2 linked regions of the Drosophila melanogaster genome follow. Changing the gene in region 1 together with any one later gene gives a genetic interaction. Each region holds a gene or a part of one and is shown in the gene's direction. Other genes may lie near its edges. The genes, in order: Nak and Chc.

Evidence for each region.
Region 2: of Nak (region 1) and Chc, changing one enhances a phenotype caused by changing the other (phenotypic enhancement), as found in Drosophila melanogaster (one study listed by BioGRID).

Annotation. Positions count from the first base shown.
Region 1 is NT_033779.5:18,966,541-18,970,471, reverse strand, and holds the start of Nak (Numb-associated kinase), read left to right. Parts: upstream 1-1,727; 5' UTR 1,728-2,056; coding exon 2,057-2,219; intron 2,220-3,931. Other genes in the region: Tango6 (transport and golgi organization 6), read right to left, coding at 1-1,254, 1,313-1,373.
Region 2 is NC_004354.4:15,833,366-15,837,296, reverse strand, and holds the start of Chc (clathrin heavy chain), read left to right. Parts: upstream 1-1,806; 5' UTR 1,807-2,010; exon of another isoform or gene 2,011-2,069; intron 2,070-2,384; exon of another isoform or gene 2,385-2,476; intron 2,477-2,542; exon of another isoform or gene 2,543-2,665; intron 2,666-2,925; 5' UTR 2,926-3,132; coding exon 3,133-3,174; intron 3,175-3,597; coding exon 3,598-3,805; intron 3,806-3,931. UniProt on the Drosophila melanogaster protein: Clathrin is the major protein of the polyhedral coat of coated pits and vesicles.

The DNA of each region.
Region 1 (3,931 bases):
TCCAAGGAGGTTCCTTCTCAATTTCCCATTTAAACAGCTTCTGGAGTATCGCAGGTAATTCGTTTTTCATTTCTCTGTTGTCCAGACAACGCAAAATAATGGCAGAAATCTGCGATGACGCCGGTAATTCCATTGGAAGGCCATCGTAGAGTTGGAGCAGCAAAGGAAGGTAGGGAACGAGTAGATTACTGGGTAAGCAAGCTACGGTTGAAGAACAAAAGAGATGCTGCCATAAGAGAATGCGATTGCACAGTTCCTGGTGATCCATTAAGATAAGGCCATTAATAATGTCTTCTGGGTTACAAAGCGTTTCCCAGTGTTTGAATAATATTTCTTTTATCAGCTTTTGATTTGTATCACTTAAATCGTAAAGTCTTCTGAGCGATAGGACACCGGCGCACATTTTGTCCGCATTCTGCAGATAGAACTTACAATATTCTAGCACCTGGAGAACCATCTTCTCTTGCGCTAACTGAGAAAATCCTTTTCTGGCCACAATACTAGCCACAATTTCCGCATTTCTGGAAGAATTCACATTGGGATTTTGATGCAGGGCCTCAACAAGACTAGCAAATCCTTGGGGTAAGTGAAGCTTTCCTAAGAGTTGACGGTGCAATAATTGGGCCAGAGTTGGGCAGAGAGTCGTAGCTTTAAAAAGCAAGATGTTGCGAAAGAAATCTGCTTTGGATTCATATTGCCAGAGGTAGGCTATAGCCTTATCCAGCAGTGGAGAGTCTTGCTGCACACGTAGACTCACAATGGCCGCCAGTAGATCCCTTTGCACCAGCTCCATCGAGTTGGCTATGTGGTATTGTCGAATATGCAGTAGATTAATAAAGAACTGAATGCTTAGAAGCATCAATGAAAAGTTAGCTTTGATTTTCCCCTGAGCCTCACAAAAGATGGGCGACTTGTAGAAATCCTCATGTAGCTGGCATCGAAGCGAGTAATATGATAATTCTTGGGAAGCCTGGATACACAATTTCAGGTGCGCTACCGAAATAAGATCCTCCTTGGCGTCGCTGTGGAAATTAATGTTCCTCATGATCGAATGTAGCACATGTTGCAATCTTATTATATAGCATATAGTACGATCCGAATCGGGATCAATACTAGATTCGTGATCGTCTGTTAACTGATATTCCAGGCACAGCTCATGCAATTGCTGACCAATCTCGAGTTTAGCATATTTTTCCAAAATTCGCAGGTTGATTTCCAAGGCTTCGGCAGTCCCTGAGTTATTCGCCGTATTTGCTGTCGAAATATTAGTATTAGGGATACTACAATTATTATATGATGTTAACCAATTTACCTAGAGCTTTACTAAACCTTAAACTCTCTAGAAGAGCAAAGTACTTGGCCGTATTTATCATTGTTATCCCAGCAAACTACAATTTTGCGAATTTAGCGACCATTTGCTAGAGATGCTTGTTTACAATTGCACCAGCACAATCGATAACATATTGATAAGGGAAACACGATGTTGGCAGCATAGCTAATTAAAACTGCGCGATAGTTTAATGCAACTGTAGCTATATGTTTTATTGAAAGTAGAACCATATTATCTTTTTAAATTGGATCAAATTACAAAAAATTGTTATCATAAAACCTATTTTGTAAACGGGGATTTCCTTGTTTTCAGAATTTCGAGATTGCAACCAACTTATCTATATATCGATAGGCGGCTGCACCAGCCGCGGGTTGCGCATCTGACTGCAGCAAAGCGCCCTGGTCACACTGGCCCAACAACTCGAGAGCAGCAGGAAAATCGAACAACTTTCTTTTTCCACTGCATTGTGTGTGTGCATGCAAAAACACAAAGTGCGCAGAATAGCTTTATTCAGCTAGCCGATACGACTCGAAAGTGGATTAATTGGCCAGCGGCACCGACGCCCCGCCCACCGTCAGCCGCCCTCGCAAAATTAAAAATTGCCAAAAACACCTACGCGCAGGCAATTAAGACCGTGTTAGCTAGTGTGCGTGTGTGCTCGCGAGTGTGTGTGTGTGTGTTGTGCTGCTGGGGCAGTAAACATTTTCTAGTGAAAATCGGGGGAAAATGAAGAAAATCCTGTCTAAGTTCGAGCGCAATGAGAACTCTCGACTGGAGAATCCGCCCAACAGCAGCAGCTCGTCGTCCTCGAACGAGAAGAACAGCTTCGTGGGCAAGGTCTTCACAGTGGGACGCGTCACGGTCACCGTGGAGGATGTCCTGGCAGAAGGTAGACGACTATATATACACTCTTATATATGTGCTCCCATTCCCCTACCTACAACACGTCGCCCGCGATTATGCTTATCACCTGCCTGATTTACAGGTGGGCAGTAGCCTGCCGTCCGCTTTTCGGTCTCGCCCCTCGTCACAGATTAGATAAACCCCTTCAGCGCGAGAACTCCCAAATGTGGGGCGTACTCAAAGCGCTAGAGAGCATAAAAATCAGCTGCGTATCCTCCATAATTGGGGACACCACTTGTCGCATTTCCGATTAAATCCAAATAAATTACTCCCAATAATTTCTGTATAAGATGTTAAACTCAAAACAGCTAAAATCTGACTTTGATATATTATCTTTTAATAAAACTGTAAAACATTTTAAATTATTTCATTAATTATGAATACTAAATACTGGTTTGTAACCTAAATTCCAACTAATTGAACTGCAATTTTGCCCTTGGCATAGAACTACATATTTATGTCCATAACTCGGCTCTCTAATGGCGTGCAGATATTTCGTCCAAATTTATGTCAGTCTTTAAAGAGTTTATTTTTGCCAAAACCAGAAATGCCAGCATTTCTATTGTGACAAATGGGTGTCCGCGTTAGAGAAACCCGACTGTACAAACACAGTTACGGTTCTGGTTGGTTTTTCCATGGAATACCCATTGAATTCCCGTAGCCACTACACATGGCCACAAATCAATTGAATCAATTATGTTAATTTAGCCAATGAAGCGGCAAGACCAACACTCATCAGCCGACTGTCTCCGACAGTCTTCCGTTTTTCACCTTTCGCCGAGCTAAATGGCAAAGTTCGCCCCTAAGGAAATCGCCTGTGCTGTGTCCTTGTCCTTGAAATGCGGAGTGCTCCACTCCACATCATCCTGCAGTGCAAGTGCCTCCTTGTTGGCCTGGCACCAGTACCCTCCGCCCAACATTTGATCATCTAACGATTGCTCACCCACCGCCTGGCCAGCCATTCGCCACCTTTCCTTTAGCCATTACGTAGTGTTTTTTACTTTTTATACTTTTGGCAAGCGGACTCGATTCGTAATTTTGTTTTGCGCTGCGCTGGCGCCGCTGGCAATTAGTCAGCTGTTGTCGGGCATACCCTGTAATTAAAAAGGCGGAGCGTTTGACGAACACGGTTATTTGGTTAAAGTTATTGAATTAGTATAACAAATTATAAACTAAATTATATATTATTTATTAATTCATTTAATCCAGTAACGTAACTATTGGTATTTCATTTAAGAAAGAGAAAAAATAAATAGAGTCTTTTGCAGATGCTCAATGAATAAAATGCGCGTATAGCCAAGTTTAAACTGCTCGATATGCTGGATACTTCCAAAGTAACACTGTGCTTAATCACCTTCAATATTTACCTGCTTTCTTTGATTCGATTTTTGAGCAGCCAACAACAATTACAAATGACTAAGCGACAAACGGTTAACGAATGAAGCTTTCCCGCCTTAACCCCTCAGCCCCCACCCTTAACCGCTTACTGCCCACCTTGCAGTTGACGCCCCTTCAGACGTATTTTCTACCCTCGTTTGCGTTTCGAATTGCCTTCTCGCGTTTTCTCGCATCGCTACAATTGTGCATTGTTATTGTTGCTTTTCATACTATTATTACTGGATGTTGTTGCTGTACTTTTTGCCAATGTTGATTTGTTGCTGTTGCAACCTTCAGCATTGATTAACATTTGACGCCATA
Region 2 (3,931 bases), on another chromosome or scaffold:
CACAAAGTTCGCGCCCATGTCGCGGCCGCTGTAATCCTTCGATTACATCGTTACCTCACGGCGATAATCTTGGCGGGGCTGTATTATGGCGTTAGAGTGGGCGTGGCAACATGGATCTCAACTTGGGACTCTCAACCTTCTAGCTTTTATAGTTCTCGACGTTCATACGGACAGACGGACATGACCAGATCGACTCGGCTATTTCTCCTGATCAAGAATATATATATATATATAGATTATATGGTCGGAAACGCTTCCTTCTGCCAGTTTCAACGAATCTTACCCTTACGAGTAACGGGTATAAAAAATTGGAACTTGCATTATTATTGGCTCCCACAGAGAAGGGTATATTATTTGAATGACAACAACGTTTCAATGTAAATATATATTAAAATAATCTAGGTAAACATGAAAACGAAGAAAAATAAAAACAGAATTTAGTGGTATCTTTATGTTATCAAAATGAATATGATTGACAAAGCTCAGAGTCCGCAGCATTCTGCCATTTATCCTGGGCTTCCTAGATCCCAAAACCGAGTCGTAAGAACGTCTGTATATACTGTAGAAGAAACTTATATTAATAAAAGAATTTCCCTGGGAAACGAGGAGTTTATCAGTTTACCTTATTCTGTTAGCGACGGATCCTCTCCCAATGGCCCTGGGTTGAGGAATCCTGGGCGGGTGGGACGCCTAGCAGGAATGCGGCAGACTGCGAACGGCCAAAGCATCGAGCACTGGTCAAATTCGGACAATCCAGCTGGGTTTTTTACCACTGCAATAATGAAAAACTTTCAGAAGTCCTCAAGGGATTGCTCATGGTAGAGAGTGACATCGCTTTTGCTTTTAATAAAAGAATTTCCAAATTTTTGTGCCTGCAGGACAAAAATGATTATGTGTACCTTTTCGACAACTTGCTGAGGTGCTGGACCCTTCGCCCGTTCGAAGACTACCGCAAATCTGCGAGCGGGACGCCCGCAATATTCGTCTAGCTCCTTGCCCCATCCTTTGTCATGCCCTTGATCAGTCAAGTCAAGACGGTATAGATTCTATCGCCAAAAGGTGCTTCAAAATCGGATACTGCTGCTTACCTCATAGATTAAGATTTTATTGTTGGGACTCGGTTTTCCAAATGATAAAAACAATAAAAAAAATGTTTGGAGCAAATCCTAAAGTTGTTGTTTCTGTAGCACATTGAGTGTAAATGTCAAAAATAGTATTGAAAAAGAACAAAGTTAAAATCATCGCCTACTTAAAAATAGTATTGCATAGGAACAATGTTAAAATTATCGCCTACTTATTATCCAGCACTTAAGCAAGATAATTAATGTATATATATTTTTAAAAATTAACGAAAGAGAATGCTTTAGTCCCGTTCTCCGACTATCAGATACCCGTTACGCAGATAGTGTGAGTGCAAACGTGAAATTTAATAATTTTTTCTGGGGTGTGTTCTGTTACTCTACGAGTAACGGGTATAATAACTTCACATTCCAAATTAAATTGCTATAAAAAATAGATTTCCAATTAGAGAATATATCCAATTGGATCACTCGATAACACCTGTTAACCTTACGTATGTATTATGATCTAAAAACTTGTTATCGGCAAAATATAAATGAAGCTGATAAAATAAAATAAATTTGTTGTTCCTTACAAAGTTATACTACATTTACCTAAATAATAATTACATTCGAATATTATGAATAAATACGTGTAACAGTAGGATCGTGCGATACAAATATCGATTCGAATGTTGAATGTGGTATCGATGTTTTTTCACTCCACGCAATTGCATATTTGCCGTATATATCGGCATTAATTGTATAACTTTCACACCTCTACCTTGTCTTGCAGTCAGTATTTAGTCAAACAAAAGAAAAATAAACTACATTTGTTAGAGCTTGATAAGAGCTCAGTTTGTCTTCAGTGTGTGTGCCCGTCATCTAGCAACAAACCGACGTGATTATTTCGAGTATGATAGTACTTAGCGTACATTTTTGTTAAATTGCAGTAAGCATACGGGCTCCAAATATCTTTCGATTCATTGGGAAAAAATGTAAAGTGCTAAAGTGCGTGTGTGTGTTCGCTTGCAAATGCAATATATACATACAAATTTTGTTTATTTGATGTAAAAGCATCCGATTAATTTACCGTTTATCTAATTATGTTCTTGTTTATGTGGCATATTGCGGCACTGCAAGTGTGCGCGCTCATCTGTGAGTGTGTGTGCGCGAGTGCTGCTGTGTGCGTGTGAATTGGGAATTACCGCTACTCAATTTGATGTATATACACCGAATTTCGTCAATTTCATGGCATTGTCCCATTGTTATCAGGCGCAAAACAGTGATATTTAAATGCGATTTTCGATTTTCATGCACACACAGGGGGAGGGAAAACAAGAGCAAAATTGCTGTACATGTATTAGTCAGTGACTAATTGTTCAAAGCGCAACTCAACATGGCTGACTTTTTCTGTGGTGAGCAGCGATTTTTGATGATAATGCTGCCTCTTTTCTTTTCAAATTCTCTCTCTTGATTCGCTCTCACTCTCTCTCTCTCTCCCTCGCTCACCTCAAATAAAATAAAGTGCTGGTAATTTTCCCGTCGTAACGGCAAGTGCAAAAACGCAAGAAAACGAATAAAAATACCGATACAAAGGATTAATCGTAGGAAATAATTTCGTCTATATATTTTCTTGCACAAAAGCGATTGGGGATACAATAAGAGACTCGGTGTTTTATTTTAAGGGCGTTTACATCCATATGTACATACATATAGGCCTTTATCTTTCATTTTTTCATCCGGTGACGCTGTCACTTTCTATCAACAATAAAATAACGCCCACAATTTGATTTTTCCTCATTCTTGCCGCATCAGTGCTGTCCATAACTACATGTTTTTCCAAAATCTTTTGTCTTTCGTGCAGCTAAACGTTCCAATGGAAACCGAATCTTAAACCAGAAACCGACTAAACTCGAACGCAATTAAACAACAATAAATCCTCGAAACAAATCAAATACAAACTGTTACCAAGTGTGCAATTCAAGAAAACATCGTATTGGCATTGTTTTCGCAAAGATACATTTACGTTGTAAAGGTCTGTCAATAACTAGACCTCACTGTAGTAGTAAAGATGACGCAACCACTGCCCATCCGCTTTCAGGAGCATTTACAGGTGAGTAATATTAAATATTTTGGATCTACCATCATTACATATCCACATACGTACAACCCACCAATATGCCACGATTACCTACGATTATATCCGATTCATAAGCTCCCCACTTTTCTTATGAAAATTTCACGGTTTCCAGCTCTAATTCAACGTGTAAACAGAAAATATGGGGGCTTAGGTCGAGTTTCTACTTTGCTATACCTTCTATTCAAGTCTGTATACAGTGTATTTTCTATAGAACTAGTTATAATACAAATTTACATCTAAACTTAAGCAAAGTATTGCGAATATTTAATAGTAAATGTGGGTCAATCCAGGCCAGTTCAATAATTAATAATGAATGATTATATTGTGTAATGAGTGCGTATGCTATGATTTTCGATTTATCAATTAACACACATTTTCAATCTCCACTACGGACAGCTCACAAATGTCGGGATCAACGCCAATTCATTTTCATTCAGCACGCTCACGATGGAATCGGATAAGTTTATTTGCGTGCGGGAGAAGGTGAATGATACCGCCCAAGTGGTCATCATTGACATGAACGATGCCACCAATCCCACGCGGCGTCCCATCTCAGCGGATTCGGCTATCATGAATCCAGCTAGCAAGGTCATTGCGCTCAAAGGTAACTGAAACCGATGGTCCAGTCGATCAGAATGTCCGAAGAGGATCAGATTTTAGCTTAAAGTAACGTAGGCTTAGTAAACAGGTCCGCTTGTTATTACAACGTGTCTAGAAAACTTAAAACCTC